Linked DNA regions of Canis lupus familiaris. The protein of the gene in region 1 purifies or fractionates together with the protein of each later gene. This does not show direct contact. Links are inferred from orthologs where the notes say so. Each region holds a gene or a part of one and is shown in the gene's direction. Other genes may lie near its edges. The genes, in order: STX4 and VAMP8.

The links.
Region 2: the proteins of STX4 (region 1) and VAMP8 purify together in Homo sapiens (affinity purification with western blotting; 3 studies listed by BioGRID and IntAct, with this or other methods). This does not show direct contact. The link is inferred for Canis lupus familiaris from reciprocal best matches to the Homo sapiens genes STX4 and VAMP8.

What each region holds. Positions count from the first base shown.
Region 1 is NC_049227.1:17,342,577-17,358,440, reverse strand, and holds STX4 (syntaxin-4), read left to right. Parts: upstream 1-6,555; 5' UTR 6,556-6,904; coding exon 6,905-6,934; intron 6,935-7,122; coding exon 7,123-7,224; intron 7,225-7,335; coding exon 7,336-7,435; intron 7,436-7,571; coding exon 7,572-7,646; intron 7,647-7,942; coding exon 7,943-8,013; intron 8,014-9,721; coding exon 9,722-9,830; intron 9,831-9,902; coding exon 9,903-9,979; intron 9,980-10,215; coding exon 10,216-10,353; intron 10,354-11,273; coding exon 11,274-11,384; intron 11,385-11,476; coding exon 11,477-11,557; 3' UTR 11,558-11,575; intron 11,576-11,670; 3' UTR 11,671-11,930; downstream 11,931-15,864. UniProt on the Homo sapiens protein: Plasma membrane t-SNARE that mediates docking of transport vesicles. Necessary for the translocation of SLC2A4 from intracellular vesicles to the plasma membrane.
Region 2 is NC_049238.1:39,845,471-39,858,022, reverse strand, and holds the start of VAMP8 (vesicle-associated membrane protein 8), read left to right. Parts: upstream 1-8,476; 5' UTR 8,477-8,607; intron 8,608-9,115; 5' UTR 9,116-9,358; coding exon 9,359-9,361; intron 9,362-10,682; coding exon 10,683-10,841; intron 10,842-12,136; coding exon 12,137-12,280; 3' UTR 12,281-12,552. UniProt on the Homo sapiens protein: SNAREs, soluble N-ethylmaleimide-sensitive factor-attachment protein receptors, are essential proteins for fusion of cellular membranes.

The sequences.
Region 1 (15,864 bases):
CCCTTGATCTTCTCCTTCCAGCCGCCGGAACCGTGAGAAATAAATGTCTGTTGTTTAAGCCTGCCAGCCTGTGGTATTTTGTTATAGCAGCCCAAGCTGACTAAGACATATTTCTTTGTTTGAAATTATTCAAAGGTACCTTCTTTCTTTGATACGATTATTTAAAATAGGTAATACTTGCACGTGATTCAAAAATCTAAATAATATAAAAGATTTACAGTGAACATTCTTACTTTTGACAGCTGTTCTTGCCAGCTTGTTCTCAGGAAACATCTGTAGGGAACCACTTTTATTAGTTTCTTCTGTAACTTTCCAGGATTTAACGATACAAGCAAACATATACACGTGTGTGCATGCATGCACACACTGACACATTTTTTTCTTTTTTTAAAAAATATTTTATTTATTTATTCATGAGAGACACACAGAGAGAGAGGCAGAGACAGAGAAGCAGGCTTCATGCAGGGAGCCCGACCCGGGACTCAATCCCGGGTCTCCAGGATCACGCCCTGGGCCGAAGGCAGGCGCCAAACCAGTAAGCCATCCAGGCATCCCAACACTTTTTTCTTATACCACAGTAGCATGATAACTCATTCCACATCTTGGTATTTGACTAATGATATTTTAAAGCACTCTCACATTATTTGTGATGAATATCCTCATCCTTTTTGACAGCTGCCTACCTGCTGATGGACAAATTTGCAAACAATATCCAAAGAATAACACCGATGTATACGTCATTTCTTATAGTGAAATATAGGAAAGATATATAGGGAAATATAGGAATATACAGTGAATTAAAATTCTGTTTCTCCCCTCCCCCCCCTTTGCAGCTGGCATGGACTTGTGACTTGCTTGGACTCATTGAATATGGCAGAAGCAATGTCACACAGCTTCTGAGCAGGGTCTCAAGAGACTTTGCAGCTTCTCCTCTCACCTTTTTGGAACCATGAGGACACTGTGCTAAGAAGAAACTCAGGCTGGGAGACCTGACTGGCTCAGTCAGTAGAGCATACAACCCTTGATCTCAGGGTTGTGAGTTCAAGCCCCACATGGGGGATAGAGCTTACCTATAAACAAACAATTAAACAAACTCAGGATGAAATACCACATGGAGAGAGTGGCTTAGCCATCCCTTGATTGAGCCATCAGAGTTAAGGTCTCATACTAGTGAGTGACAGCCATCACGGGCCATCCAGCCCCAGCTGAGGTGCCAGCTGACTGCTACCACTTGAGTAATCTAAGGTAAGATCAGCAGGAAAACCATCTGACCATTCTTAGAATCTGGAGAAACAATAAATCATTGTTATTTTATGCCAGTAAGTGTTAAGGTGGTTTCCTGGGAAGCAATAGCTAAGTGATCCAGATAGATTTTCAGATAGATTTTCACAAGTGAGAAAGCTGATTCAAAGTGTACATAAGTTTATAATTTTGATAAATATTGTCTGATTTGTATCATTTTGCATTCCTACCAACAAGTTTCCCATGGTATTGCCAAAAGAGTGTTTTGTCAGACAAATGGGTTAAAATTGCTAATGCAATAAAGGAAAAAATGGTATTTCAGTATTGTCTTTTCATTTCTCTCATTATGTGTGAAAGTGAACATCTGCATATGTGTTTAAGACCTTTAAAATCTAAAAAAAAAAAAAAAAAAAAAAAAAAAGGATCCCTGGGTGGCGCAGCGGTTTGGCGCCTGCCTTTGGCCTAGGGCGCGATCCTGGGGACCCGGGATCGAATCCCACATCAGGCTCCCGGTGCATGGAGCCTGCTTCTCCCTCTGCCTATGTCTCTGCCTCTCTCTCTCTCTCTCTCTCTGTGACTATCATAAATAAATAAGAATTAAAAAATAAAATCTAAAAAAAAAAAAAAAAAAAAAAAAAAAGACCTTATATATTTTCTCTTTTGTGATCTGTCATGTTCTTTGCCCAGTTTTTATTAAATTGTTGGTCTTTCTTATCAATATGAGGAAGCTCTTTAAATAGTAGAAAGATTACCCTTTGTATATGATAAGAATTGCAAATATTTTTCTTACATTTGTTGTTTGTCTTTTGATTTTGCTTTAATGTTTTTTTGCCATGCAGATTTTTTCCAGGTAGACAACTGTATTAATCTTTTATAGCTTTTGAATTTTGAGATGGAGTTGGAAAGGCTTCCTCACTCCAAGTGTTAGAAAGGATTTTTCCCATATTTTCTTCTAGTATTTTTAGGGGAGCTTATCATGACAAATTGTGTGATCCATCACTTTTAAAATGAAGTTCAAGGCCAAGGTTATGGCACACGTGATCGGGAGTAACCCACAGGGAGAGGCAACAGGAGAAACAGAAGCTTGTTTAGGAGAGTCTCAGGGGGGAGACGATGCATCCTGTTTGAAACAGGTTGAATTTAAGGTGCCTATGGGACCTCCAGGAGGAGATGTCCGGTAGGCAAGTGGAATCAGAAGTCTGGAGCTCAGGAGAAAACTTAGGCCTGGAGACACGAATTTGGGAGCTAGCATATGCATGCCAGTTAAAGTCACAAGAGTGTATGTAGCGTTTGATTAGAAGTTCTCAGGTAGAACTCTAGGGAGTGGTCAAGGTCAGGCCATGAACATAATCACGAAGAGAGAGCTGTGGGGGCTTGGCACAAAACAGCCTCAGAGACTTGTAGGATAAACGGATGCCCTTTATATGAAACATGCATAAATATCCTTGGCTTCTGGGGACAGAGCAAACAGGGAGATGGGAGAGGACAAACAGCCTCCCCAGCGGTCAGCCCCACCCAGCAGGTGTGGGAGAGAGACCCTGTGACAGAGGAGGGGAGAAGGCTCAGTCTTGCAGGCAAAGTCTTCCCCCTCCTCCCCACAGATGATGAGCAGGGCATCAATAGGTGGCAGCAAGTTACCAAAGGTAGGTGGACACAGGGAACCCACGTTTTCCTTGGATCATAGTGGAGTGGATAAGAGCTCAAGAGAACCTCACAGAACCCAGAGCTCCACTCTCTGGGTTCAAATCCCAACTCTGTCCTGCACTAATGTGAAGCCTTGGGCAAATGACTTAATACCTCTGTGGGTCAGTTTCCTCCTCTGTAAAATATGGACAGTAACAGTACCTATCCCATAGAACTGCTATGAAAATTAAATGAGTTAGTATTTCCAAGGTGCTTATGTTGGTGCTGGGCACATAGTAAATGCTATATAAAAATTAAATTAGTAATTTCATTCATTAATTCATTCATATTTATTTACCAGCTACCATTTGCCAGGCAGTGTTGGACGTACTGGGGACACAGCAGTGAATAATGCAGGTGAAATCCCTGTCTTCACGGAGCTTATATTCTGGTAGGTGGACAGGAAGGGGTAAAGACAGACAACATATAAAATAAATATAAATAATACTTTAAAATATATGGTGTGTCAGATCCAGGGCGAAACAGGAGAGACGTGCAGACCATGGCAAGGCCTCTAGCCTGGTATCTGATGCACAGTCAGGCACAGATGGAAAGCGGAAGAAGAATCTGAACAACCCACAGAGTGGAATCCCTGCGGAGACACTGGCACTGCTGACACCCTCAGGCAACAATCACCATCATCACCAGCATATAACAGCAGCAAACACATACATAGCATTTATTCTGTACCACACTCTGTTCTATTCACTTTACACGTATCATCTCATTTAATTTTTCTGGCAATCCTATGAGGTTGGTACTGTTATGGTTCCCATTTCTCAAATGAGGGAACTGAGGCATAGCAAGGTTATGTAACTTGCCTTGGAGAATTGTGTGATGAGGTGAAGGAGCTGGGATTCCAGCCCGGGGCTTCTGGCTCCAGTATAGGTAGGATGTTGGTAGGATGGACCTGCAGTGGAGAAGACAGGACAGACCGCCATGCCTCAGGACTGGGTAGGGCCTGACCTTCCTGCACGCTGGAAGGAAAACACACACGTCCCTAGTATCTACCCCTCCCAGACCCAGTATGCTTAATACATTCATCAAGGTTGTTCAGAGGGGCCAAGAGGAATAACGCCCAAAACCATGAAATAGAGATAAGGGCTCAGCTCTGGAAGCTCCATCCCCAGAGCTATTTTCCCTGCATGGCCTGTGCTCCCCAGGAGCACAGGAGACGGTGCTCCCCACTGTCTCTACATACCACTCCATGAGGCTTTAAGCTCAGCCTCCTGTGACCTTAAGCCACCATTCCAAAGCCCTGTGATCCCACCCAGAGACCACAAATACAATAATGAATATTATAGTCCTGGGAAATTTAACAAAGGCACCAACAACTCTAGATCAAAGCTGGGAACCAAGAAGCAAACCATCAAGAGACTAACAGAGAGGCAAGTGGGCCTGGTGGTCCTAGAGATAGCTGGAGTCCATGATCATAACAGCCCCGAGAGTGGGCAACCCTTGGTAGTTCATAGGAGCTTTCCAGAGTCTTTCTCACCTCACTTGATACTGTTCAATTCTTTTTTTTAAAAAAAAGACTTATTTATTTATTCATGAGAGACACAGACTGAGAGAGATAGAGAGGCAGAGACACCCTCAGAGGAAGAAGCAGGCTCCCCGCAGGGAGCCCAATGCGGACCCAATCCCTGATCCCGGGATCATGACCTAAGCCGAAGGCAGGCAACTCAACCTCTGAGCCACCAGGCCTCCTGATACTGTTCAATTCTTACCTTAGAAATCACCAGACCAAGTTGTCAAATGGAGAAACTAATTCCCAGAGAAGAGCAACGAGTTATTCAAGATCAAGATCATTAAGTTATTCAGGACTGGGAGTCCAAGTTCCTAAAGCCCTTCCACTGCCCTCCCCCCCGCCCCTTGAGACAGAGTATGAGACACAGACAGACAGAAAGAAGGAAAGGGAGGCAGGGAGGCAGGGAGGCTGACATTGAAGACCCAAGAGTGGGGAAACCTTTCATGATCTCCAGGAGACCCCAAGGAGCAGGGCTTGGCCTCTGGAAAAACCCTCCAACCCTTCATTTCTCCTGTAGGTTGATCAGAGCAGCACACCATTTTCACTCCTTTGTTCCCTACCCCAGGCGAGCTGGGTTCTGAAGGGGACAGAAGGGAAGGGAAGGATCAAAGCCCTTCTAATAGAATCAGACAGCAGTTTATACTTTCCAACCTCATAATCAATGGACTTTAGAGCAGGGAAAGATGATCTAAAGATGATCTCTCCATCTTGCTATGCCATCTATCCTACAGATGGGATACTGAGGCCCAGAGACAAAGACATGACTTTCCAGAAATCCATAGCAACTCAATCACAGAGTTGATCACAATACAGATTTCCTTACCAGGACATACTAGAGAGGGGCCAGTCTTTCTTTTGCTTGAACCTTCATGTAAGTTCTCTGGAAAGAGTCCTGGGATCCAGGAGACCTGATTTTTATTCTGGCTATGCTGAGACTCACTTTGTGGCCTTGGAGACTGCTCTCACATAATGTAAGTTTCACAAGTGAAAGGTTTTTGTCAGTTAGGCCTTGATTTATCTCCGACCCCTACAACAGTCTCTGGCCATAATAAGTGCCCAATAAATGGATATCCATTGAATGAATGACCATCTAGTGGGCTAGGGCAGTGTCACCGTGAGAGGCTGAAGCCCAAAAGACAAGCTTTATCTTCAGATACATGAAAGGTTAAAGTTCTGTCCACAGATATTTATTGAGGGCCCATATGTGATAGGTACTGAAATAGGCCCTGGGGATTCAGGTAAGAACAAGACTGCGGCGCCCTGACCTCAAGAGCCCACGGTCCACTATAATGGGGAATGTGTGCAGATTTTTTTGCGGGCTTCAGAGGGTAGACCCAGATGCTAGGGAGGGAGGGAGTTAGATGTTAAGTGGCAGACTCCTCAATGTAATACAGACACTTTTCTCAGCTTTAGTTGCCCTGAAATGGTCTTATGCTCGGAAGGTGGTGAGTGCGGCGGAACTGCAGTGTTCATGCAGGGCGCCAGCCGCCCACCTGTCAGAGGCTGCGCCAGGAGGATGCGGGAGGAGAGATTTCTGCCTTGGGTGAGGTCACTTTCCACCCCCAGATTCTCTGCCTACAAAACCCTGCAATTCTCTGACGCTGGATCTTATTATTTTCTGAATCTCAAGGTCCCATGATGCTGACAGCCCCGAATTCTAAGTTCTCCGTCTGCCCACGTCCCTGGACCCAAAAGAAAATGAAGCCGAATTCAGCGAGGGTCCTACCACCCACTGCCTCAAACGGTCTCTGGGGGTAGTCAGCAGCCCCCGCCCCGCCTCGCGAAGGCTGGAGGGGCGTAGCTTGGGCGCCAGGGTCCCGGAGACGTCGTGGGGAGAAAGGTGCTCCAGAGACGGAGTTGACAGCGCCGGGGCACGTGACAATCAAAGTGTCACGTTCCGAGGTCCGCGAGGGTGGGACCGGGCTGGTCATGTGACGTGGGGGGGGCACCATGGGGTGATGTGAGATGCAGGGCCTCTGAGATTACGTATCAATGACGCACTCCCACCCGGTCTGGCAACTAGATTTCCGTTGGTAGATGCGACAGTTCCGGCGAAGGGGGCGGGTTCTCACGTCCTGGCAGCTTTGCTTCCGTTCGGGGCGCCGCAGCTTCCGACCTCAGGCTCCCTCCGGCGAGGAAGAGACGCGACCCCGTGCGCATGCCCCGATCATCCCAGAGGGGCGGGGCCGAGGCTACGGGGACGGGAGGGGGGGAAGAAAAGGGAATTCCAACCTGTGGAATCTTGGGGGGTCCCCGGGGTCGGCTGCTTCCCACTGACTGTGGATGGTGCCCGGGACGGAGCCTCTGGTGGCTCGTGGGGGGGCCCGGGGGTCCGCAGGGTGAGGGCGGAGGGAAGTGTCAGTGTCAGAGTGTGAGTGGGGTACGGGAGTTCCAAACTTAGTCTCGAGGCCCTCGGGGCTCCGGCGCCGGGAAGAGGGAGCTCGGGCCGCCATGCGCGACCGGACCCACGAACTGAGACAGGTGAGAGGGGGCTGCAGGGCTGGGGGTGGGCGGACGGGCTGGGGTCTGGCTGGCATACAGGACTCCCGGTCTTCGGGACAGGGAGGGGTGGCTGAGGGCTAGGAAGGAAAGACCCGGAAGTCTGTGAGTCCTGCGGGGAGAGAGCAACCGCAGGGAAGTGATGCCAGTGACCACCCCGGCCGTGGCAGGGGGATGACAGTTCGGACGATGAGGACAAGGAGCGGGTCGCGCTGGTGGTACACCCGGGCACGGCACGGCTGGGGAGCCCGGACGAGGAGTTCTTCCAAAAGGTAAGAGGCTGGGGTCTCCGCCTGTCTTCATGAGGGGGCTGGATGATCCGAGGAGCAGCGCGGTCCGGAGTATCCCCCATCTCCCTCAGCCCTCTCGGTCACCTTCCCCAGGTCCGGACAATTCGACAGACTATTGTCAAGCTGGAGAATAAAGTCCGGGAGTTGGAGAAGCAGCAGGTCACCATCCTGGCCACGCCCCTTCCCGAGGAGAGTGAGTGAAACCCCAAGTGCAAACGCATGCTCAGCCAGAGGGATTGTGGGGATTGTAGTTCCGTGCAGGTGGTGGCCAGGCAGGTTGGTTTGAGGTAGGAGCCGCTGTCTGGGAGTCATGGCTTTCTCTTCTTCAGGTATGAAGCAGGACCTGCAGAACCTGCGTGAGGAGATCAAACAGCTGGGGAGGGAGATCCGAGCACAGCTGAAGGGTGAGCCCCTAGGACCTCAGACAGACCCTTCCCTGTGGTCCTGCCCAGCTCCTGGTATATCTGGGGACTGTGTGGCTCAGTATTGCAAAGAAAAATACACTTGAGCTACCGTCAGAGGCTCATAATTAGTCATTTATGATAAAATATAATTCCCAAAATAATTCTGTGGAGATAAGCACCTCTCTATTGTATGGATGGGGTATGGCCCTGGCCCTGTGTCCTGGTTCCCACATGATTTTCTGAAGCCACACAGATCAAATCTCCTTCCCCACCAATCCCCTTGTGTCTTCCCACAGCCATAGAGCCCCAGAATGAAGAAGCTGATGAGAATTATAACTCAGTCAACACGAGGATGAGAAAAACCCAGGTGGGTTTATTATTCCCAGAACTAAGACATTTTGCAGGGTTTCATAGACCATTAGGTGGCAAAAGTAAGGGGAAAGGGCCCTTAGAGATCATCAAGTCCAACCTAATGATTTTCAAGTGGGGAAACTGAGGCTGAGAGAAAAAAAATCTCACCCAAAGTCTCCTGACTCCCAATCCACCTAACATCCTGTCGCCTTCTCCATTCATGAGAAGTTGCTGAATCCCCAGATGTGATCTGGGCTTGGTTGTGGAAGGCATGCTTTCTAGAAACCAACATGGTGAGTCAAGCTTGACTAGATGACAAAGACATTACTCAGGTAGGGTGTGGTAGCTAATAACCCCGCCCAGGGAAGAAGAGGGAAAGGTCATAAATGACAGGGAGCTTTCCTGCCCATATGACAGGGTCATCCTCTGCCCCATGGGCAGAATTCAAGAAATCAAGAAGAGGAACTTCCCTGGAGGGAGAAGGTCACTGAATCAACATCTTAGTGAGGAGATTTGAGGCGATCTAACTGCCCTTGTCTGGGTGCCCAGGGAGGAGTAATTTGGAGTTCCTGGAGGTCAGAGTTGGTGTAGGTGGGCCCAGAAAGTACCCTGGATTGAAGATAGGGCAGTTTGGGTATCTTACAATGATGTGGTGAAGGCAGGAGAGCAAATATGTCTCTAAGGAAGGAACTCCAAGGAATGAGCACATTGAAGGAAGCAAGAGAATGGACAAGATAAGAGGATGTTTCAGGGGGAAACTGTGGTAGTCATTGGTGTGAGAGGCTGAGGGTCCAGCCGGACCTGTAAGAGCTGGGCAATGGGCTGACCTCCAGGCATACCTTTAGTCTAAGCTGCAAGGCTGGTGTTCAGCAAGCATTCAAAGGTATTTATTGAGTGCCTACTGTGTGCTAGGCCCTTTTCTAGCTGTTTAGGATGCAGCAGTGAACCAAAGAGCCCAATCTTCATGGAACTTATGTTCTGGTGGGGCGAGACACACACCATAATAAATATGCCCACTATTTTAGAACGTAGGGTTTTTTTTAATTTATTTATTCATAAGAGACAGAGAGAGAAAGGCAGAAACACAGGCAGAGGGAGAAGCAGGCTCCATGCAGGGAGCCCAACATGGGACTCGATCCCAGGTCCCCAGGATCACACCCTGGGCCAAAGGCGGCGCCAAACCACTGAGCCACCCGGGCTGCCCAGACGGTAGTTAAGTATTAAGGGAAAAACTGAGGAGAAGAGGATTGAGAGTGACGGGAGAAGGCAGGTTGCAGTTTTAATAAGGTAGAGAAAACTTCATTCAGAAGGTGACATTGGAATAAAGATTTAAAGGCCTCTGTGAATAAATAAATAAATAAATAAATAAATAAATAAATGTATGTATGTATGTCTCTGTGAGGCATGAGTATTCTAGGCCCAAAGAGCAGTGAATGCCAAAGCCTGAAGTAGGGGTGGCTTTGGTGGGGGGAGGAAGGAGTCCACTGTGGTCAGAGGGTGCGAGTGAGGCAACAGCTGGAGGACATAAAGTCAGAGGGGAAATGGGGAAGGGAAGGTCCAATAGGGCCTTATAAGCCCTAGTAAAGGCTTTGGCTTTGACCTTGAGAGAATGGTGGTCAAGGCAGCAGGCTCCTAGAACAGCTTATGCTGTTTGCTCCCTATACTTATGGGGATGTTAAGGCCAAATCCTTCCGGGGTGCCCAGCCTATATTTTCTATCATCAGCATGGGGTCCTGTCCCAGCAATTCGTGGAGCTCATCAACAAGTGCAACTTGATGCAGTCCGAGTACCGGGAGAAGAATGTGGAGCGGATTCGGAGGCAGCTGAAGATCAGTGAGTTGTGGTGTCTGGCCTACAGGGTCAGGTAACCTGACCCAGCTCTGAGCCTGACCTTTTCCTTCACAGCAAATGCTGGAATGGTGTCTGATGAGGAGCTGGAGCAGATGCTGGACAGTGGGCAAAGCGAGGTGTTTGTATCCAATGTGAGTGGTCATGGCTAGCCTCCCTCTTCTGGGACTCTCATCTTCGCTGAGGCCTGGTCCCCTTTGATTGAGGGAATACAGAGGCCTGGAAGGGAATGACTTAGCATGCCTAGGGTCGCTCATCAAGGTCCTGGCCCCAGTTCTAAGCCTGAGGGCTGCCTGAAAGCTCAACAGGAACTTCTGATCTGCTGCTGGATTCCCTGTGACCTGTCTGGCCATTCCTATCTGCTCCCCAGATCCTGAAGGACACGCAGGTGACTCGACAGGCCCTAAATGAGATCTCAGCCCGGCACAGTGAGATACAGCAGCTTGAACGCAGCATCCGTGAACTTCATGAGATTTTCACTTTCCTGGCTACAGAAGTGGAGATGCAGGTGGGCAAGACAGCTGGCTGGGCTTGATGTGAGACCGTGTTCAGTCAGAAACCCCACTGTGTCTGTCAGTCCATCTCCACTCTCTAGCCTCTCTCCCCGAGGCTTTCATCCCCCTCCAGGCTGGGCCATGCCCCCAGGCTGGCCCTCACTCCCATCTGTAGCTGAGCCCCAGAATTGCTTCCACCTCCACATTACACAGATGGCCACTCCTCTACACTCACCATCTTACCCTGTCTCCCAGTTGAGCTACCCAGGATGTAGCCCAACTCTGGCTCCTCCTCCACCAATAGAATCCACCCTTATACCTCTAAGAGTTCTACTCAAAGATGCTCCTTAGGGGGCATGCCTCCACAGATCTGAATGAGGTTGGGGTGGGAGGTGGTGTTCTTCTGCTGCCCCCGTTGTGTGAGGTGAGGTAAGCTGCCGGCCTCTAGTGCTGCAGCCAATGCCCTTGTGCAGCTGGGATTCATGGGGAAGGCATTTCATTCAGTAGGAGTACCAGGACCTGAAGGCTGGCAGTGCCATGAGGAGGCAGGGTTGGGGAGGGCTTCACAGCTGTTGAGAGGCAAGCCTAGAAGAATGAGCAAATTCAGACAGATTTACAAAGAGACAGAAGTTCACCCTCTGTGACAAGGTATGAGCTTCTTAAGGCGCTTGGCTCCAAGCCACCACTGCAAATGAAGGTTGTAGGGGGTAAGGGAGCAGGGCAGAAGGGACTACATAATAAAAGGGATCCTGGAAGCCACCCTCAGGAGTGTGCACTTTGGTCAGATGTGGTCCTACCCCCACACCTTTGTTAGTGCTGCATTTCCTGCCAGAAAATGTCCTTTAGGCAGCTAGTGTGAGCAAGCAGAGGAGCTGATGGGCTCTCCACCCCCAGTCATCCCTACCTGCCTGAACTGTCCCCCTCCTCTGAGCAGGGGGAGATGATCAACCGGATTGAGAAGAACATCCTGAGCTCAGCAGACTATGTGGAACGCGGGCAGGAACATGTCAAGATTGCCCTGGAGAACCAGAAGAAGGCTCGGAAGGTGAGCCTTGACACCCCTTCCCTCCCCTCTAGTCTGAGGCCCTGGTTGCCTTCCCTCCCCTTCTGAGTTTGTTTCCCTGAACTCTCCCACAGAAGAAAGTCTTGATCGCCATTTGTGTGTCTGTCACTGTCGTCATTCTGGCAGTCATCATTGGTATCGCCACATTGGTTTGAGAGCATTGCACATTCTTGGTGAGCTATTGTGGGCCTGCCCCCTGGCCTGCCTCGTCCTGGGCCCCTGCCTTTCCTCCTCCCCTCAGACCCTCTTCTCCCTCCTTCCCTTACAGGCTCTAAGAACACCGGGGACCCGGGTCCGCCTTCTCTCCCAGCAGCTGAGGGGGGAGGGCAGGACAGAGCCTCCAACTGGACCCCCTTCCTCACACTGGCCCTGTGCAGAGGGGCAGACAGTTCTTCTGGGGTTGGCAGCCACTCATTCATGGGGGCTTCTCCACTCAGGCCACAATGCCTGGGGGAAGGCCTGCAGCGTCCTGTTTGGCTGGGACACATGGTTTTGTAAGAAAGTAAAAAAAGACAAACAGAAAAATGAGCTTGGAGACTGCCCCGTGCATGTATGTTCCTAGAAGAGCTGGCCCAGGGCCTCTACGTAGGCGGCCTCCTCTTTCCGTGGCCATCTTTGGGGCCAGGCCCATCCGAGGAAGACTCAGATCAGACTGTTCAGGTGCTGTGACCACAGCAGGCTAGCACTGCCCTTCTACTCTCCCTTAGGAACAGGTGGGCAGGGAGGGGCTAACACCCACATCTGGCTCAGTATTGTCCTTGGGGAAGGATTACTGTGAGTACCTAACCCCAAAGCAGTGAAGCTGGGCCTGGTAGGCTGGGACATAGGTGAGGTGTGTGTGGGCATCCATCGGCCTTCCTGAGGCCACGAGGCACCGTTGAGTAATGGAGGCTGTTACTCCAGATACAGTGAACAGGGAAAGTCCTGTCTCAGAAAGGGTGACATTTCAGTGGGCTGTTAAATGAGGAGGAGCCAGTTATGAGAAGAAGCAGGGGGAGAGGCTGCAGGGCAGAGCCCAGAAAAAGGCATAGCCTTTGACATAAGAGTTTAGCTTAAAGCACTGGGGACTCCGGATCAACACACCTGGCTTCTAGGGAGTTAGGTGGCTGAAGCAGTAGAGGTGACAGAGGAGCCTGACCCTTGGTTTCTAAGAGCTCTGGGCCCCAACTCTAAATTTCTAAGAGTTCCGAGTCCAGAAGCCTAGCTTCCAGAGCTGGGTGTGGCACCTGTCGCCAGACACCTGGTTTCAAGGGGTAAGCTAGCTCCTGGCTCCGAAGCTTGGTTGGAGTGGAGCAGCGCCTGACCCCAATCAAGTCCTGGAGGCCGGGTTCCAGCTGCCACAGCCCATCCCGCTTTCGATCCCACAGGCCCCTGCTGCTGCTGTCGTCGCTGCTACTCCAAGCTGCCCTTGCCTGGGCCGTCGGGCCAAAGTACCACACATGTGGGTGCTGGGTGACGCGAATCATAGAAGGGGTGGACGCGATGCCCTGGGTGCAGTCTCGGACCCAGCCCCTGGACCTGCGGGGGGGAGGGCAGGAGCCAGAGGACGGGATTAGGCTCCAGAGACCCCTGCCTGCTTTGCCTCCACCCATCTGGGCGTCCTCCTGCAGCGCCTCCCAGTGGGCTTAGAGCGACCCTCGCCTGGCAGTTGCAAGGCGCCTGCGCCAGGTCCGAGGGTCCGCTTTGCCCCGCGTGTAGGGGGCGTGGCCTGGCCGCAAGTGGAACACGATTGGGCGCGCTAGTAAACGCCGCCTCTGAGGAGCAGCGGGATTGGTCCCTAGGACGTCCAGGGACCTCCTGGGGGAGTGAGGAGTGGCTATTCAGCCGCAAGCCTCCCTGAACTGACGTGGGAGGAGCCTCGGCGAGTCCTCAGTCGCACCCACAAGTGATTGGATCGCAGGGCGAAGCACGACCAAACCTCTAAAGGAGGCGGAGGCGGCACTGGCTTGTGAGAGTCTGGCGGGGGTAGGTGAGTCAGGGACTTCACCGGAGAAGGCGTGGCTGGGTCCCCCTCCCTAGCCGCCGAGCTTGGCAGCTGGGAGGGTACCCACGCCTTCGTCACGGGCGTGGGTACCCTGGGATCCTGTGTACAGATGAAGCCCTAGATACCTACAGGAAAGAGCTCCTCATTCTCCCCAGTGTGCAAACACAATCTGGATGTGCGCTCGAGGGGAAAACTGCTGGGCGGCACAGATCCTGCCCCCGTAAAACATTGATTTGAGTACGGGGCTTCTGGGCTTCCCTGAATCTCCAGCTCTCCCCCCTGCGGCCTGCATCTTCGGCGGAATCCTGTCCTGTAGGTCGCCTTTGTCCACCCCTCACCTTTCTGCCTTCAGAGGAAAACTGCCCCACCCGTGGCACCTACTGGGATCTGATAGAGACTATCAGATGTGTCAGTGTGCGTTATGTGACTTCAGACTGGCTTTGCGGGACGGCGCCACCCCTGAAAGCCTGCTTACCTGTCCGCCTTACCCAGGAAGCCGTGTGGAACCTCCTGATAGGAGTATCTAGATGGCCGAGTGAGGCTTCAGATGCCGGGCCCAGTAATTTGAACTTTTCCTGTGGGCTAGGGGACATATGCAAGGTTTTTGAACAGGTGAGTGGCAAGTTTGGGGCAGACCTAGAGGTCAGGTGGACTCATGCATTGGAGTTTTCACAGGTTCCCTTGTATATACCCTTTCGCTGGGGAAAACTGAACTGAATGAGGAGTTATAGGCAGGTTTTGCACTGAAATCCTGTCTTTGCTGTCAGCCCAACTTTCAGGGAACAGGGTCTTGGTTGGGTGTGGCTTTTCCGAATCCATCTTGCATCATAACTTTTCAGCTGTAGCTCCCCCCAGTTATTGCCTCATTCATTCAACATTTTGTGGTTCAAATTACCAGGAAAAGGAACATGGTTGTCTGAGTCAGGCTACTTTGACCAGCCTATAAATTGTCTAATTCAAGTCAAGACTTTAACTTTGATCATGATGTATGTAAAGTGTTTACATGGTACAAAACACTGCAGCAGAGTGTGTATAAAGGAGGAGTAGACGAGCATTTCTCGTGCAGCCCTGTGATACACTGTATTGTTGTTCCAAATTTATACTGTCCTTCCTACTGGACCACTCACTATAGGATAATACACATTCATGCCTCACTTACAGTAGGCTTGGCTATATGATTTGCTTTGGCCAGTGAGATATGAGTAGAGATGTAAAGTATCACTTCCAGATAGAAGCTTTAAGCATCAGTGAGTAGTCTGGTAGCTTGCCTTTTCTTTTCCCACTTGCTGCGAACTGCTGATATTTGGAGACTAGTTGTTGCCACATCAGAATAAGTTAAAACCAACTGTCCCAGAACTAGTACCCAGAAGTGGGGTGCTGCCACACTAAAAATTAACCTGAATTAAGTGGCATTGGCTTTGGAGCTGGATGACGGCTGATGAGGAAACCATCAGTGGAAATTGGAAAGATGGTGTTGTGTGTTAGGCAGTGGTGAAGCATTTGGTTAAACTGTAAGCCAGAAATAAGTAAGAATTGTAAATAATGTACAAATGAGCTTGGGGCTTTAGGGGGAAATTTTTTTAAAGATTTTATTTATTTATTCATGAGAGACACACACACACAGAGGCAGAGACAAAGGCAGAGGGAGAAGGAGGCTTTATGCAGGGAGCCCAATGAGGGACTTGATCCTGGGACCCCAGGATCATGCCCTTAGCCAAAGGCAGATGCTTAACCACTGAAACACCCAGGTGTCCCTAGGGGGAACATTTTTTGAGAAAGAATATTAGTAGCATGACTTGATTGCTTTGGGGGTACATTTGACAAGCTACTGTAAGAAAGAGATGACTCCGAAAATCATTGGCCAGTTTTTAAGCAGAAATGGAAGATATCATAGAAACTCCAGGCAGGTGATCTACATTTTTAACCATACAATTGACAAGGCCATTAAACCACAAAGTTTGAGTAAAACTCATCTTTGTAGCATGGGCCTTATCAAGTGTATGGCTCTCATGCCTTTTGTAGAAACCTCTGAATTGGTCAAAGTGGTTTTCCTTAAAGCCTTTCATTTAGTCAGGATGATTCAGAAAAGAGAGATTAGGAGTACAACTCTCCCAAAGGAGCTGGTAGGCTCCATTTGCTTACAATTAAGTCTAAAGAGAGAGGCATATCTGAAAAGAATTGTGGTTTGGCAGTTAGCCCATAGAACTGACTGGAATCAAAGAGATAAGAAGCTTCTTTCCCTCTTCACAAAAAGCCACCAGCTTGGATTTTTAAAAGACCATGAGTGTTCAAGACTTTGAAGGCTCCTAAATTTCTATGAGCATGAAAGAAACAGCTGCTTTGCTTCAGAAGGGCATAACCTCTGGTGTTTTCTCAAATGTGGCCAAGGAGGATAAATGGGAAAGGATGAGCTACTCTGTGGAACTAGAGAACCAGTCTCAGGAAGCACTCCTAGTCCCGGGTAAAGGTGGGGGGCCT
Region 2 (12,552 bases), on another chromosome or scaffold:
GCTTCTCCCTCTGCCTGTGTCTCTGCCTCTCTCTCTCTCACTGTGTGCCTATCATAAATAAATTAAAAAAAAATAAAATAAAATGGTTGCAATCGATGACACTAAACTCATATCTCTCAATAGTAACTCTGAATGTGAACGGGCTTAATGACCCCATCAAAAGGCGCAGGGTTTCAGACTGGATAAAAAAGCAGGACCCATCTATTTGCTGTCTACAAGAGACTCATTTTAGACAGAAGGACACCTACAGCCTGAAAATAAAAGGTTGGAGAACCATTTACCATTCGAATGGTCCTCAAAAGAAAGCAGGGGTAGCCATCCTTATATCAGATAAACTAAAATTTACCCCGAAGACTGTAGTGAGAGATGAAGAGGGACACTATCTCATACTTAAAGGATCTATCCAACAAGAGGACTTAACAACCCTCAATATATATGCCCCGAATGTGGGAGCTGCCAAATATATAAATCAATTATTAACCAAAGTGAAGAAATACTTAGATAATAATACACTTATACTTGGTGACTTCAATCTAGCTCTTTCTATACTCGATAGGTCTTCTAAGCACAACATCTCCAAAGAAATGAGAGCTTTAAATGATACACTGGACCAGATGGATTTCACAGATATCTACAGAACTTTACGTCCAAACTCAACTGAATACACATTCTTCTCAAGTGCACATGGAACTTTCTCCAGAATAGACCACATATTGGGTCACAAATCGGGTCTGAACCGATACCAAAAGATTGGGATCGTCCCCTGCATATTCTCAGACCATAATGCCTTGAAATTAGAACTAAATCACAACAAGAAGTTTGGAAGGACCTCAAACACGTGGAGGTTAAGGACCATCCTGCTAAAGGATGAAAGGGTCAATCAGGAAATTAAGGAAGAATTAAAAAGATTCATGGAAACTAATGAGAATGAAGATACAACCGTTCAAAATCTTTGGGATGCAGCAAAAGCAGTCCTAAGGGGGAAATACATCGCAATACAAGCATCCATTCAAAAACTGGAAAGAACTCAAATACAAAAGCTAACCTTACACATAAAGGAGCTAGAGGAAAAACAGCAAATAGATCCTGCACCCAGGAGAAGAAGGGAGTTAATAAAGATTCGAGCAGAACTCAACGAAATCAAGACCAGAAGAACTGTGGAACAGATCAACAGAACCAGGAGTTGGTTCTTTGAAAGAATTAATAAAATAGATAAACCATTAGCCAGCCTTATTAAAAAGAAGAGAGAGAAGACTCAAATTAATAAAATCATGAATGAGAAAGGAGAGATCACTACCAACACCAAGGAAATACAAACGATTTTAAAAACATATTATGAACAGCTATATGGCAATAAATTAGGCAATCTAGACGAAATGGACGCATTCCTGGAAAGCCACAAACTACCAAAACTGGAACAGGAAGAAATAGAAAACCTTAACAGGCCAATAATCAGGGAGGAAATTGAAGCAGTCATCAAAAACCTCCCAAGACACAAGAGTCCAGGGCCAGATGGCTTCCCAGGGGAATTTTATCAAACGTTTAAAGAAGAAACCATACCTATTCTCCTAAAGCTGTTTGGAAAGATAGAAAGAGATGGAGTACTTCCAAATTCGTTCTATGAGGCCAGCATCACCTTAATTCCAAAACCAGACAAAGACCCCACCAAAAAGGAGAATTACAGACCAATATCCCTGATGAACATGGATGCAAAAATTCTCAACAAGATACTGGCCAATTGGATCCAACAATACATTAAGAAAATTATTCACCATGACCAAGTAGGATTTATCCCCGGGACGCAAGGCTGGTTCAACACCCGTAAAACAATCAATGTGATTCATCATATCAGCAAGAGAAAAACCAAGAACCATATGATCCTCTCATTAGATGCAGAGAAAGCATTTGACAGAATACAGCATCCATTTCTGATCAAAACTCTTCAGAGTGTAGGGATAGAGGGAACATTCCTCAACATCTTAAAAGCCATCTACGAAAAGCCCACAGCAAATATCATTCTCAATGGGGAAGCACTGGGAGCCTTTCCCCTAAGATCAGGAACAAGACAGGGATGTTCACTCTCACCACTGCTATTCAACATAGTACTGGAAGTCCTAGCCTCAGCAATCAGACAACAAAAAGACATTAAAGGCATTCAAATTGGCAAAGAAGAAGTCAAACTCTCCCTTTTCGCCAATGACATGATACTCTACATAGAAAACCCAAAAGTCTCCACCCCAAGATTGCTAGAACTCATACAGCAATTCGGTTGCAATCCAAAGCATCATCGATAACAAATGCTGGTGAAGATGTGGAGCAACAGGAACTTTACTTCATTGTTGGTAGGAATACAAAATGGTACAACCACTTTGGAAAAAAGTTTGGCAGTTTCTTATAAAAGTAAACATGCTTTTACCATATGATCCAGCAATTGTGCTCCTTGGTATTTACCCAAATGATTTGAAAAATTATGCCCACACAAAAGCTGTATACAAATGCATAGCAGCATTATTCATAATTGCCCAAGCTCAGAAGCAACCAAGATGTCCTTCAATAGGTGAATGGATAAACAAACCAGCAAATTCATACAGTGGAATATTCAGTGGTAAAATGAAATGAGCTATCAAAACACAAAAGGATGAGGTGGACCCTTAAATTCAAATCCCTAAGTGAAAGAAACCAATCTGGAAAGGTTACATACTGTACGTATAATCCAAACTGATATACTGGAAATGGCAAAACTGGTTTTAATGCAAAAGATCAGTGGTTGCCAGGAAATGGGGCATACATTGCCAAAACCCATGGAATGTGAACCCTAACATAAACTATGGATTCTCTTGATAATCATCTATCAATATTAGCTCATCAATTGTAAAGCAAATATACCACACTAGTGCAAGATGTTACTAATGAGAGAAAAATGGGAGAGTGCTAAGGGGTGTGTGGGAACTGTCTATGCTACTCAAAAAAAAAAAACTCTGTTAATTTAAAAACATTACTTCAGCTCACAGCTTACTGACACAAGTGCTTTTTCTAGGAACAACTGTGAAGACAGCCATCATACTTGGGTATGCAAAGTGTTGTGTATTTCGCATTTCTTCACACAAAATAGTTAAGGATGTGTGCTCCAGTGTCAAAAATTAATAAAATAAATAATTCGTACTGCTTCATTAGAGACATTGAAAATGGCGTTTTTTGAAAATGCAACTGTTTAAGGGGGAATAAATGCATTGAATACTACTACAATTTGGTGCCACTGGCTCTTTCCTGCTAAGTTGCCAACCGTTTCATTAACTCCCAATTGCTTTTGTATCATCAGCACAAATGGCAACATAGTTAAAAGGACAAATAACGTATTAGTATTAATATAGAAGTAGTTTTGTCTTTGAAGAGTCCAGGGGTTCTTGGACCATGTGTTGAGAACCACTATCCTAAAGGAAAGGAATATCTGGAGTATATGTAAAAGTAGAGATTACTAGGGACAGATGCATTTGGCAGGTAGAATCATGGGGCTAACAGTGTTCCTGCTGGGGAGGGTCTGGCCCACTTCCAGGTCATCCTAACAGACAAGTCACCTTGGAAGCCATAGATCTATTTAGGGGATGAATCTCTTGTGCTGTAAAACCCCAGTTCAAATGAATTCAGTGTGGGTCAGAAAGTCTGGGCTAGCTCTTCTAAGACCATTCAAAATTAGATGGTTCCATCAAACTCAGCATTTATATTCTGTTATGTGCCAAGAACTGGACTAGTTACAGAGAAAGAAACAGATTATTAAGCTGTGGCCTTTGTCCTATAGGAGTTAAAGGATAAGGAAATAAAAGAAATAATAGAATAATGACAATAGAATGTACAAAATCCTAAGTATTACATGAGGTTCAAAGTGCTGCGGGAGTACTGCGGAGGAAATGAATCACGACTAGAGAACTCGGGAAAGTTTTCTGAAAACTTGGAGCTGGGCTTTGAAGGATGAGTATCATTTTAAGAGGAGAGAAGGAATTCAAAAGTTCTTAGTATGTTCTTGGGTGACCAGAGAGCATTCTGGGTAAGAGAAGTACAGCTGTGATAACTCAGTACCTCTCTACCCCATGACTTGTTTTTTGTTGGGGGGTATCCAGTTTATCCTTTCAGGATCAGTGTACAGACTCATGCCATTTAGTATTCATTTATTCATAAAATGATCCAAAATTTAGGAAAGAGATTTCTTCATGTTTCTCCTCCTCCTCCTCCTTCTTCTTCTTCTTTTTCTTCTTCTCCTTCTTCTTCTTCTTCTTCTTCTTCTTCTTCTTCTTCTTCTTCTTCTTCTTCTTCTTCTTCTTCTTCTTCTTCTTCTTCTTTCCTCCTTCTTTTTAAAAATTATTTATTTATTTATTTGAGAGAAAGAGAGTGCATGTGGGGGGCAGGGGGTGAGGGCCAGAGGGGGAGGGAGAAGCAGATTCCCCACTGAGTGTGGAGCCTGATGTGGGGCTCTATACCAGGACCCTGAGATTATGACCTGAGCCAAAGACAGACACAACTCAACCAATCAAACCACTCAGGTGCCCCATGCCCCCATGCATGGGTCTTTTCTAATAAAAATTGTATTTTTACCTGCACTGCAAAAAAAGAAGCTCTCTGTCAGATCTTTTGGTTCAATACCTGAAACATTTACTGAGTGACTACTCTTGCATGATGTATGTTATTTTCAACAAGGGGTACCAAAATAAAGACATAGCCTCCGACTTCACAAAAGTTAGAGTCTCGGAGGTGTCAAATGCGTATGCCGCAAATGGCAAAGTATATTATGGATTCTATAAAAGATAAAATGTGGGATCCCTGGGTGGCTCAGCAATTTGGCACCTCCCTTCAGCCCAGCGTGTGGTCCTGGAGTCCCGGGATCGAGTCCCGCATTGGGCTCTCTGCATAGAGCCTGCTTCTCCTTCTGCCTCTGTCTCTCCCTCTCTGTGTGTGTCTCTCATGAATAAATAAATAAAATCTTTAAAAAAAAGATAAAATGTGTTTAGGGATAAGCTAGCGTGGGAAACTGGTAGAATGGGAGTACCACCCTGCAGGAGGAACATGGAGAAAACATAAAGGGTTTGGTTTGGCTTTTGGAGGTGCCTGTGGAGAGGGCACTGGAGAGGCAGCGATGGCAATTGAGAACAAGGTCAGGGCTGGAGATACAGATTTGGGGATCACCCATAAATGGCTGCTGAAACCATAAAGCGTTGCACTTCCCTAGGGAGATCAGGGTTTCAACCTCAGCATTATTAACATTTGGTCTGTATAATACTTTGTTGTGAGAGGGCTGTCTTTTGCACGTAGGAAACTTAGCATCCTCGGCTTCTACCTACTGGATTCCAGGAGCACACCCCCCCCCTGCCAAGTTGTGGCAACCGAAAACGTCTCTGTTGTCAAATGTCCCTTGGAGGGCAAAATCAGCCTCATAGAAGACTGTTGCTCTGGGAGAGTGCAGAGTCTAAAGTGAAGATGGTCACAGGTAGAAGCTTCTGGTTCTAAAAGCACAGTCAGAAAGAGAATGAGACATCGGGAATGATTGGGGGTGGGGGGGTGGAGTGTGACTGTCCCAGATGGGATAACCAGCAGTATAACAGTTAACAAAGGGGTTTGGAGGCAAAAGAGGCCTTGGCAGTGGTGAGAGCTTTCTGATCCTTCAGGGAGCAATTCCAGGTGTGCCTCCTGAATGCTCCTTTTCCTTGTTTTCCAGCCTTTCCCCAGAGAGCTATAGAAGCAAACTCCCCATTTATGCCATAAATAAGAAGACTAGCATCGAGGTCAATGCACTCTCAAAGTTTGCCTGGTTGCTTTGCAGGCTGTTAATATTCCTCTTCCACTATTGTCTAATCTTATTTTCTCTATCAGTCTCCTTTTTCACTTGTAAAGTGCTTTAGCAGGAATATAGAAATATATATCTGTATTATTTAACCCTAATAATAACCCTGCAAAGCAGCTTTCATTCTTCTTCCCATTTTGCAGATGAGAATACTGGTGCTCCTAGAGGGAAGTGGCCTGCCCAAGTCTATATAGCCAGGGAATAGTGGAGCTGATACCCAAATCTTCTGATCACACAGGCACTGAGAACACTCTTCATCACATCATGATTGCTTCTTTAGTACAACTCTTACCATCTAGCATTTTTCTTTGCAAAGTGACTGCTACTCCATTTCTCCTGGGATAGAGCCTTCCTTGACTGCAAAGGAATCGATGACTTATTTCTCTTCTCGTACCCTGCCCATAGTACCATTTCTTTCTTTCTTTCTTTCTTTCTTTCTTTCTTTCTTTCTTTCTTTCTTTCTTTCTTTCTTTCTTTCTTTCTTTCTTTTCTTTCTTTCAGATTGATTGATTGATTGGTTTATGATAGACATAGAGAGAGAGAGAGAGGCAGAGACACAGGAGGGAGAAGCAAGAAGCAGGCTCCATACTGGGAGCCTGACGCAGGACTCGATCCCGGGACTCCAGGATCGCGCTCTGGGCCAAAGGCAGATGCTAAACCACTGAGCCACTCAGGGATCCCCTCTTTCTTTTTTTTAAAGTAAGTTCTAGGCCAAACATGGCTTTAATTCACCACACCAAGATCAAGAGTTACATGCTCTTCTAACTGAGCCAGCCATGCACCCCCCATAGTACCATTTCTGCTCACAGTTCATTGTTTGGTACTTTACTGAATGTCTCATCTTCTGAGGGCATTAGCAAGGTGGTCTTTTGACAAAGGATAGAATTGTGATGTTCCTACAGGAGAGGCCAAGACTGCAGGGGCTCTGCATGGTGAAGAGGAGGGGGAGCACGTTGCAGTCCCAACTGTGGGTGCTGGAAAATCTCCCCAGTGGTTTCTGGGCCTAGGCCAAGGGTCAGCTCCCCCAGGGACACCAATGTATGTCCAAAGCTGCCAGCAGCATGCTAGAGCCTGGTCACTCCTCAAATCTTGTAACCCTGATTTCTTTCTTTCTTTTTTTTCTTTTCAAGATGTTATTTATTTATCCATGAGAAATACAGAGAGAGAGGCAGAAAAATAGGCAGAGGGAGAAGCAGACTTCCTGCAGGGAGCCCAATGTGGAACTTGATTCCAGAGCCCAGGATCACACCCTCAGCTGAGGGCAGACGCTCAACCGCTGAGCCACCCAGGCATTCCTGTAACCCTAATTTCTATTCTGGAAATCCTCCTCCATGTCTTTATGCTCTCCTCAGACATCCTACTTTGTTTCTTGGCACCTATCCTATGTCCCTACCCACCACTGCACTTAGCATCTGGAATCATTAATAATAGTAATCATAATAGCCACCATTTACTGAGGGTTGTTTCAGTGCCAGGCATAGATGGTGAGGTAACTGAGGTTTATAGATGTCACATCAGTCTGTCCAAGGTCACATGAATATTAATGCATAGATCAGTGTGTCTTATAATGGAAATATAATTTGAGCCACATTTGTAATTTTTAATTTTCTACTCATCAAATTAAAAGAAACAGGTGAAATGAGCATTAACAATTTTTAAAATTTAACTCAATAAATCCACAACATCATTTCAACATGTTATCAGTATCAGTTAAGTGTCTGCCTTCAGCTCAGGGCATGATCCTGGGGTCCTGGGATTGAGCCTGGATTGTGCTCCCGGCTTCTCCCTTTCCCTCTGCCCTTTCCCCTGCCTCATGCTCTTTCTCTCAAGTAAGTAAATTAAAAAAAAAAAAGTCTTTGAAATACTTGGGGTGCCTGGATGGCTCAGTGGGTTGAGCATCCCACTCTTGATTTCAGCTCAGATCACTGATCTCAGGGTTTTGAGACTGAGCCCAGTGCAGGGTTCCATACTCAGAGAGCAGTCTACTTGAGATTCTCTCTCCTTCTGCCTCTGCCCTTCCCCTCCTGATGTATGTGTGCCTGTGCTCTCTCTCTCAAATGAATAAATAGATAAATCTTTTAAAAAAAGAAATACTGTGTGTACTCTTACATCACTTCTCAATTCAGACTAGCCACAGTTTAAGTGCTCAGCAGCCATATATGGTCAGTGGCTATGGTAATGGACAGCATAAGTACAGATCAAGGATTCTGACCCATCTCCACTTGACCTCTTTATAGATTTTCTTTTTTTTTTTTTTTCTTCTTTATAGATTTTCTAAGGATGATGAGAAGTGAGACAGCCACATTCTCTGTGAAAGTAGGCTGGTACTGTCCATCAAATTTCAGATTTGCAAAATATAATAATCTTATTTAATTGGAGATAAGATTTCATTATAAAGTAGAATAAAGTATCTCAAAACAGAGGTCCAGAAATTGTCATTTCCTTTAACAAAATATGTGTTAGAGAAACTGACATTTCTCTCTTAGAACTAATAATACTAAAAAAAAAAAAAAAAAAAAAAGAACTAATAATACTTCTGGGATGGGACAGGAATGTTTGTTCTCTTTTGCCTGTCCCTGTTTTTGTTCTGTCTTGATAAATACCATCTGGGAAGACTAGATATTCTGTGGCCTGGAACCAGGTGGTGGAAAAATCCTTTGCCTGGGGCCCTTCTCTTGTCCATAGGGCAGGCCTCTGACCATTTCTGAGTAGGCTCACCAACCCCTCAAAGCGGCTTCTGAAGGAAATGTTGAACTCTGGAAGGGAAGAAGGGATTGGTAAGCCATCATTCCCTCGTCCCAACAGTGGACAGGTCTTCCTTTCAGAAACTGTGGCAGGCACACTGAGTGTGCTATCCTGTTATACGTCCCCACCATCCTCTGAGGTCAGCATTAGCACCTGCCAAAACCAGAGAGGTGAAGAATTTCACTCAGGGTCACACTAGTAATCCGGAGCTTTCTGACACCACAGCCTAGGATTACAGCACTCCAGACTTGGGGGGATTTTAATACTTTCTGTCCACCCCTGAACATGGGAACAGGGGTTGCTAGCAAGAAACTTTCATATCTGTGTTCTGTTTCCATGTGAACTACCCCTGGTGGTGTACTTAGAGTTGACTTCAGTGTTTAAGATTTGGAGTCAGATATTCAGGACATTAAAAAAAAGGGGGGGGGGCGGAGCCAGCTTCCCTATCTATATCAGGAGGTCCAGCCTCAGGAAACCTAGGAGGGCTGCTTGATCTTCTTTTTCTTTTTCTTTTTTTTTTTTCTGGTTCTGATGCGTTAGAAGATCTCTGGTGATCGAGCCCTGTTGCTTTAAGCCCGAGCCCAGGTTTGGGAGGAGACTGGGAGGGCAGCGGAGGGCGCCCGCCTACCTGCCGGCCCGCGCTAGGTGAGGCTGGAGCCGCTCGGGATGCCGGCGGGCGGGGGCAGGCTCGAAGTTGGAGCGAGCAGGAAGTGAAGCGAGGGCCGCCCGGGAGGAAACAGACGAGGGAGTCTCGCCGCCGCCAGGCCCGAGCCGCTTGGAGACATGGTGAGCGCGCTGGGAGCTCGCGAGGGGCTGAGCGAAAGGCGAGCGGGGGCTGGGGGCGGGGGGCTGGGGGCGGGGGTCGCAGGGCCGCTGGCCAAGTCGGAGGGCTGGCCCGGTGCAGCCGGTGGCCGCTCTCCTTTGACAACTTGGCTGCCCGGGCGGCTGCCCCCGCGCCTTCTCCCTCCCCTGCCCTCGGAGCTGGCCCGGAGCGGGGCTCCGGTGGGGGTGGAGGCTCCGAATTCCAGGCCGGGAGCCGCTGAGAGGCCCTTCCTGGCCTCCTCCGGCCCGCCGGGCGCCGAGCCCGGTGACCCCCCTTGGGCAGCGCCTCCGAAGTTCCCAGGGCGGATTCCAGCCCAGCGGCGGGAGCCCTCCCCGTCGGCCCTTCCCTTTATCCTGTCGAGAAACTCCAAGAATCCGTCTCTCTCTGCCCGGCCTAAGGAATCGGGCCCCTCTCTTTAAACACGGAGAAGAAGGCGAAGGGTTTGTAAAAGAACCAGAAGTTGGTTCTCTGTGACAATCCGTCTAGTTTGGACCGGCTCCTGGCCTGTTTCGGAGGTCTAGGGGGTCAGGGAGGGAGGAGCCTAGTAATGGTTTGCCCTCCCTGTTCAAAAACTTTATCAGCCAGGGAGGACTTGCCCTCCATTTCCCTCAACAGCCAGTCTGCTGTTTTTATTTAATATCTGCTTAAGGAGGCAGTGGCAGCTTGGTTGGTGCCGGCACATGGGGCAGTGTGTTGGGGGAAAGCAGAAGTTTATGGCGCAATGGCTCTCCCTCTTGGGGCCTGGCCAGGGCCTTGGAACCCGGTGGCTGTTGCTCTGGGTCACAGCAATTAGGCAGCTCCGGAGGTCTGGGGAAGTCTGGGGCGGGAGCAGCTCTCCAGCTGCTGTCCAGCAGTGAGGGGGGTGTTGTGGCAGCTGAGGGTGTTCTGCTGGCCAGCACAGATATTTTCAATGAGGATCCTTCGGTTAATAGTGGTGGGTTTCCCCCTTGTGAGATGCCAGCTCAGCAGTTCTCTGCCCCCATCTGAGGAGCAAGGCAACAGTGGAGTGGGATTTAGGGTCTGTGTTTCTTTTCCTCCTCAGGGGCCCTGAGAACCTGAAAAGAAACTGGATCTAGTCTGTCTAGCATCAGCACTCACCTTCTGGGGCTTAAAAGTGCATTTGTTTTTGATCACATGAGTAATACATGAAAACATTCTTTGTAAACAGTTCAAGCATTAAAAAAAAGCTAAAGTCCACCTTAGGCCTTCCCCTCCCCTGGCCTCTGAGGCTGAGTCTCAGTTCCTCCACCACTTCGCCTAATTAACCCCTGCGTTGCTGCCCAGGAGGAGGCCAGTGGAGGTGTTGGAAATGATCGTGTGCGGAACCTGCAGAGTGAGGTGGAGGGAGTCAAGAATATTATGACCCAGAATGTGGAGCGGATCTTGGCCCGAGGAGAAAACCTGGACCATCTCCGCAACAAGACAGAGGATCTGGAAGCCACAGTGAGATGGGGAACCCACAGAGGTTGGGAGCAGGGCGGCTGGGAGCTGGGCAGTAGAGGAAGAGAGGGAGGGTGAATTGCTGGGGCTCGGGGAATTGGTGGTGCTGGGGGCAAAATGAATAGGAGGGAAGTCTGCCTTTTCACTTGTTTTGGGAATTGACAAGTGAGCCCCCTGTTTTGATTCTGCTCTACTCCACTATTTGGTACTGGGGTCCAGGAAATGGCTCCAGTGACTGGGTGGGTGGGTGGGTGGGTGGGGCTGATTCTTGGAGGCCTTGTCTGAGACAGAAAGGTAGATGGCCCAGTCAGCCCTCACATTCTTAGGCTTCCCTCCCATGAAACTGATGTTTCCCTTTGAAGATTGCCCTTGACAATCATTTGGACCTGACCTCCCTAAGCCAAAAATATTGGCTCCGGAAAATACTCCTAGGGCCTTTGGCCTTCTTGAGGAGTCACTAGGCAGGGGGTGGAAAACTGCTAGAGTTTTGCTGAGTCTGCTTTAAAAAGAAGCTGGGAAGAGCAGTGAAATTCTTTGATCAGGGGGTCCTCTGCTAGCTGAAGGCTAGAATAATATCTCCCACACATCTTGCTAGACCTCATTCCTTTCTCTCTCCAGCCATGGGCTGAAGCCAGCTGCTCAGGGATGGAGTAACTCTAACAAAATACTCCAGCAAAGGTTGGGGCCTAAGGTTCTTTGTCCACAGGGAGAGACTGGCTGTGGCTTTCCAAGTCTTGTGCATAAGCTTGGGTCTAGTTTCCCTGGGACTTAGTGTTTCTTTCCGCAGCCTAATCTGAGGAGCATGGCCCAGGGAAAGTTAATTTCTACAATTCCAGTTGAGGAGGAAGAGCAGTTTCTCTTACCTCTGACGTCTGTACTGCCCTGGTCTGTCCTCTAGCCTCAGAGGTCCCCATAGGGCACGGAGTCAGAGTCCCAGGGAGATGTGCCCACTTGGAGCTTGCACCCGTTCGCCCCAGTGTGTGCTCTCCCAAGGGCGGATTGTGCAGACAGTGTTGCACTTCTGGGTGTGAGCATATGTAAAAGGCCCCTCAGTGTACATGACGGTGCATGGGTAAGAAGAGAGGAGGGGAGGCAAGAATTTAGAATTCTAAATTTGAATCTGGCCCATCAGATTGTCATGAAGGTATATTTGTCAGGGTAGGAGGACAGAACATTTTTTGTGTAACGGTCTGTTCCCTCAACTGTTCACTTCAACATTTACATGTATAGCATGTGGGCCTCTGTCTTCTTATTCTGGTGGGAGGAGGCACTGGTTCACTCTGCCTTGTCCTCAACAGTCGGAGCACTTCAAGACCACATCACAGAAGGTGGCTCGGAAGTTCTGGTGGAAGAACGTGAAGATGATTGTCCTCATCTGCGTGATTGTTTTTATCATCATCCTCTTCATCGTGCTTTTCGCCACCCATGCCATCCCCACATAGGGAGCCCCTCCCCCCACCCACCCTCTTCTTTAGGGCAACCCTCCATAGCAGGTGCCAAGAAGGGCCCTCTCTTCCATCCTTGTCTGCAGGAAGTGCTGCTGCGTCCTCCTGCCCCTCATTCTGAGGCCCCTCTGCCACACTGTCTGCCCCAGGCACCTTGGTCCCCCGGAAGGAGAGAGTTGGACTGTGGCTGTTTCATGGGCCCTCAGAGTTGGTTGGAGAGATATCCAGAAGGCCCAGCATGGGGCTAGGACACTGATGGTGGCCGGTGG